Linked DNA regions of Saccharomyces cerevisiae S288C. The protein of the gene in region 1 binds, or shares a complex with, the protein of each later gene. Each region holds a gene or a part of one and is shown on either strand. Other genes may lie near its edges.

Region 1 (2,974 bases):
TTTTTTCTTTGCAGCATCGAAATGCTGTTTAATTTTGACAATTTCAGATTGTATTCTCTTTTCCTGCTCTTGTGCTTGTTGTGCAGAACGAAGATCTGCAATGAATAACTGTAGGCCCTTGATGGTACTGTTATTATTAGAAACACTTGAGTTTATAAGTGTTTTTTTGCGATCCATGGCTTATAAGATTAGTACTATAATAAAGGTTGCGAAATTGGAAACTCGATTGACTAGCAAATTCCAACTGTAACGTTCCTAGTGCTTCTTTGACCCTCAAATATTTCTCAGTGTTTATACCTCAGCTGGATCAAACAAGTGTTTTTTCACGTCGTCATGTGTTTCTTCAGCGCTCACTCCGGGGAAAAACTCCTATTCTTCCGCAGAGAGTATACAGTGCATACTAGAATTAATAAACTCATAGCCATGGCTAGATTACTTGATTGTGAATATCGATATTTTTCAATAGTTATATACATGTATACATGGTGTGTTCAATCCGTTCAACGTCCTCTGAAGAGTTTGTACTGTGGTTCTTGAGACTTTAAAATATTCAAATACTTCTTTGATGGCTTCTTTGCATTTTCATCGTAAAAATTCTTCACTGGGTCGTCTTTAGGATTTTTGAAACTATGTAATCCAACTCTAACCAGAGAATCCAAGGATACAAATTCATATACCCCAGGTAACTTGGTGCCTGCTTTTCTGAAGGCTTCCCGTGCGACTTTTTCATGCAAATCATCACCATTTATTTCGAAAAGGATCTTCCCTGTGGGTACCCTCACCATCCAGTGGTCAAACCCACCTTTACCTTTACCCATTCTTGTTTCGTTACCCTTGATACATACAGCAACGTTTGTACACAAACGCCTCCACAAATGACCATTGTTTAAAGGCCTGACATATCTCATAATTGCGTTATCTGCTTCCTTCAGCTGTTGCGCGGATATCCTAATACCTTCGCTTTTCAGTCGTAATCCGTACTTACCAAATTGCAAAGTGGATCCCTTTATTGAACCACCTGTACGAACTGGCACTCTACCTTTTTGCTTTTTCTGTACGATTTTGAAACGTGGGGCATATTCATGCTTGAATCTCCTAGCAATAGTGGTGTTATTTAAAAAAGCATTGGGGGAACTTTCTTTTAAAGTTAGCCCTCCCATCTTTATGGATAAATTCATTCTTGTTAAATAGGGGAACATGTTGCAAAATTCTATTCCTCTGTACCTCTGGTGAAAGGTAATCAACTTCCCGGCAATATGTACGCTCTACAAGTGGACTGTTAATTGGTAATAATTTCTTCCAAAGAAGTCTTCTTGTTATTTGAGCACCAATATGATATTATTATTTCCACCAGCATTCTTTCGTAATTAGTGATTCAACTGGATACAAAGCCTAGGGTTCTGTTCTTTGACCCTAAGTTTTAGAGTTAGGTTTCTCGTTATTGGTGATAACAAATTTTTTTTTTTTTTTTTTTTTTTTTTTTTTTCAAAATTTTTCACAGCTCATCTCATCGAGAGGAAAAGCATAGAATAAAATTTAGTTAAATGTTAAGTATTTTACAGTATTTGCCATTTTTCTGCCATTCTAAGGTCGAAAAAGTTTCAGGCAGTTTCTCAGTGAATTGGTCAATAGAACAAAAGAAACTTATAGACAGAAAATGAAGTACGTTGTTGTTTCAGGTGGTGTCATTTCGGGTATCGGTAAAGGTGTTCTTGCATCTTCAACTGGTATGCTAATGAAAACCCTCGGTTTAAAGGTTACGTCAATTAAAATTGACCCTTATATGAACATTGATGCAGGTACTATGTCTCCTTTGGAACATGGTGAATGTTTCGTGCTTGACGACGGTGGTGAAACAGATTTGGACTTGGGTAACTACGAGAGATACCTTGGAGTTACTTTGACTAAAGATCATAACATTACTACTGGTAAAATATACTCGCACGTTATTGCTAAGGAAAGAAAAGGTGACTATTTAGGCAAAACCGTGCAAATTGTCCCTCATTTGACCAACGCTATCCAAGATTGGATTGAGCGCGTGGCCAAAATTCCTGTAGATGACACCGGTATGGAACCAGATGTTTGTATCATTGAATTGGGTGGGACAGTTGGTGACATTGAAAGTGCTCCTTTTGTGGAGGCACTAAGACAATTCCAATTTAAAGTTGGAAAGGAAAATTTTGCCTTGATACACGTTTCTCTAGTTCCTGTCATCCACGGTGAACAAAAAACTAAGCCAACTCAAGCTGCCATCAAAGGTTTGAGGTCTCTTGGTTTAGTTCCAGATATGATCGCCTGTAGATGTAGTGAAACTTTGGATAAACCAACAATCGATAAGATTGCCATGTTTTGTCATGTGGGGCCTGAACAGGTGGTTAACGTTCACGATGTTAATTCTACTTATCACGTCCCATTGTTGCTACTGGAACAAAAGATGATTGATTACTTACACGCCAGATTAAAGTTAGATGAAATATCACTTACAGAAGAAGAAAAACAAAGAGGCCTGGAATTATTGTCTAAATGGAAGGCCACAACAGGTAACTTCGATGAATCCATGGAAACAGTGAAGATTGCTTTGGTTGGGAAATACACCAACTTGAAAGATTCTTATCTATCAGTGATAAAAGCATTGGAACATTCATCCATGAAGTGTCGTCGTAAGTTAGACATTAAATGGGTGGAAGCTACTGATTTGGAACCTGAAGCACAAGAAAGCAACAAAACTAAATTTCATGAAGCATGGAACATGGTCAGTACCGCAGACGGTATCTTAATCCCCGGTGGTTTTGGTGTTAGAGGTACTGAAGGTATGGTTTTGGCTGCTAGATGGGCTCGTGAAAATCACATTCCATTCTTAGGGGTTTGCCTGGGTTTACAAATTGCCACCATTGAATTTACACGTAGTGTGTTGGGAAGAAAAGACAGTCATTCGGCAGAATTTTATCCAGACATTGATGAAAAAAATCACGTT
Region 2 (2,882 bases), on another chromosome or scaffold:
TCCGGTGTTCGCCTTTTTTTGTTATTACGTTGTTTCAAGTATTCGGTGTACAATGCATTTGTAAGCGTAGAAACACTATTATCGGCCCCCTTTCTCTTCGCAAGTATACCTCGTATTTCGGGATGAACAGGCTCTCTTTTTATATTCGCAAATTCCTTCTTTACTAATTGATCTATTTCATTTTTGTAACCATCTGGTATTTTCCCTTTATCAACAAAGCTAAGGCCGTCCATCAAATCTAAACGTTGAATACCGTACGGTTGCTCTTTCAGATATCCTAGAAGTTACATCTTTTATATGTTTCAGTCTTATTCCATATTTATTAGACTAGTGTGATTTGCAGGGTGTAAAGCGGGTAACCAAATACAAGAGGTCATATTTCAGGACATGATCATATAACAATGGCAAAATTGACTTTAAATCTTAAATATCAGGAGTCTTATCTGCCCCAAATTATATATACAAGTATAATTATCTCTCTCTATTTCTAGAATTTTCTTATATACTAAAGCTAAATTCTATGCCTTTTCGCAGCATGCAGAGGCGACCATATACCCCTCACACTACTGTTCAAGCTTTCCACGTTATCATTCTTTGTTCTTCTGCGTAAAATGTCTCCATCAGAATCCTTCAATAGCTTTAGCTTGTTTTCTACATTGTCAATGTTCAAGTTTCTCACACAAATAACTTTTTCACGCCCATTTGTGTATTCTGCCCTCAACAAAGGATGTCCAGACTTCCTCATCACTTCAAACTGTATCCATGGGAACTCCTGGCCCCATTTATCTAATCTCTTTGAAGTCAAAAATTTCCTCATGCCTTCCGAAGACCCTCCCCAGTTACAGAATTGCAAAGTAATCTTTCTGCATGGAAACACGAATGCTCCAACTCCATTACGACCTATGGAATTTCGTGCAATAGCTTTCACAACCATTTCTCCATATATTCGTGTCTGTGTATCTACTTAGTCATGGTTTATGATAATCGTATTGATTGATCTTTTTTATCTCAGGGCTTATGATTTGTTGTAATTCTTATGAGCATCCCTCATCCGAAAAAGACGGAAAGCACCGTAACGTATAGTGCGATAAACTTACAGAAAAGAATAGTATTATTTAAGGGAGTTAAATGGAGTTGTTTGATGATATAGGCAGATCAAACTACGCTTTACAGTCCAGTAAACTTAACAACGAAAAATGTGTTTAGTCAAAACTACGGCTCATTTGCTTTTTTATTCCTTTGTGTATGTACAGATTAAGACACAAGAAAAAATTTGAACAATTATGATTAATTGAGAATAACTGACTAACAACTTTTATGTACCAACTTAATCTTTCAGATTTGGAGGAACGACGTTTTATTCCTATGTAGCTTCTCCAATCGCATTCAAAGTTCTTGAAAAAGACCAATTTTCTGCTTTGCAAAATAAGATCTTCCCGTATTTTTTCCAAATGCAAGCGGCATCACCTGTCATCCTGGCCCTTACCGCTCCAATTGCCTTGACAACAGGACCATTATCTTCTTTGGTGGTTGCATCTGTCAGTGGGCTAACCAATTTGTTTTGGTTGTTGCCCTGGACCCATAAAGTTAAAGAACAAAGAAAGAATATTGCGAAGAAATACACGGGTAGTGAATTGGAAGCAAAGGATGCTATATTACGTAAAGAATTTGGCAAGTCGCACGGATTGAGTCTTTTGTTCAATCTTTCTAATGTTTGCGGGATGCTTGCGTACGGTGTTTGTTTGTCAGGTGGTTTGTTAAGAAAAATTCCAAAATAATTATTTTACAAGTAAATATATATATGCAAGATCATTTTTTCGTCATTCCTTTGCCAAGGTGGAGATGAAGTTCGCAATCGGAATTTTTTGACCCTCAATTAAAGAATAAGGGACTCAGTTCTCTGCTATCCTGATCTTGGCTAAAAATAACTAAAAGGGGAATTGTGCTGTTTGTAGGATCTTAAAATAAAAGAGAACAATATTTATCTTGAAGTTTTTTCTATTTTTTTATTTCTACAAGCTTTTCTTATATATAGACCTAGCAATCCTATATTATTAAGCCGGAAAATCGTAACGAATAAAAACGAATAAAGGAGATACTAGAAAGGGCCTACTTTTTAGCAATTTGAGCTTCTAAATAATTTTTTAATTCCTGTGCGAAAACTTGAGATCTCAATTTATCAATTTCACTTTCATCAACAACAAGATTCAATAAATCTTTGTATTGCTTTTCTAATTCAACTTCATTCTCTTTATGTAAAAAATCGTAATCACCTGTATCGAGATCCAAATCCACCAAATCACCATCTCCAAGTCCAAAAGATCCAGAGCTGGATGGCATAACCAAGGAGTTTATGTCACTCCAATTCTTTTGAAGTATGCCAGCAGCGTGTTTGTTATTTTGTTTAGTACCTTGTTTAACCTTCAAATCTAACAACTTCTTATAGATTTTTCTCGCACCAATCTTTTTATTAAGAACATTATTAACTTGAACTTTCAAAAGTTTGACATCAATATCGATATCATCTCTACAAATTAACTTATTGAAGTCGATCCTTTCACTCGGTCCTCCGAATTTACTCTTTTGCAAAAATTTCACTATCGTAGTAATCCAAGTAATAAAACCTTCAAAAATGCCCTCTGAATCGTTCAAATATACATCATGAATAAACTCAAAAAAGGCATCTTGATGTTTGGTTACTAAGTTATGGATTTCTTCCACGACATCGAACTGTGTGGAAACGCCCAACTGACCATTGATAACATCATCAACAAGCCTGATCAAATCACTCATGAACTTCTCAAAATTTTTCAAAGCAACATCCATCCTTGCAACTTTGAAGATCTTGACCATAGGTTCGTAAATCATAGTGACAATTGCCT

What was found. Proteins that work in one complex are often made in the same cells at the same time.
Region 2: MRPL16 (region 1) and MRPL51 share a complex: the UniProt entries of both Saccharomyces cerevisiae proteins name them as parts of the mitochondrial large ribosomal subunit.

Annotation. Positions count from the first base shown.
Region 1 is NC_001134.8:144,412-147,385, reverse strand, and holds MRPL16 (mitochondrial 54S ribosomal protein uL16m MRPL16), read right to left. Parts: upstream 1,200-2,974; coding exon 501-1,199; downstream 1-500. Other genes in the region: APL3 (Apl3p), read right to left, coding at 1-177; CTP synthase URA7, read left to right, coding at 1,658-2,974. UniProt on the Saccharomyces cerevisiae protein: Component of the mitochondrial ribosome (mitoribosome), a dedicated translation machinery responsible for the synthesis of mitochondrial genome-encoded proteins, including at least some of the essential transmembrane subunits of the mitochondrial respiratory chain.
Region 2 is NC_001148.4:727,843-730,724, reverse strand, and holds MRPL51 (mitochondrial 54S ribosomal protein mL43 MRPL51), read right to left. Parts: upstream 935-2,882; coding exon 512-934; downstream 1-511. Other genes in the region: SNT309 (Snt309p), read right to left, coding at 1-233; YPR099C (uncharacterized protein), read left to right, coding at 612-968; TMH18 (Tmh18p), read left to right, coding at 1,197-1,243, 1,340-1,778; LEC1 (Lec1p), read right to left, coding at 2,110-2,882. UniProt on the Saccharomyces cerevisiae protein: Component of the mitochondrial ribosome (mitoribosome), a dedicated translation machinery responsible for the synthesis of mitochondrial genome-encoded proteins, including at least some of the essential transmembrane subunits of the mitochondrial respiratory chain.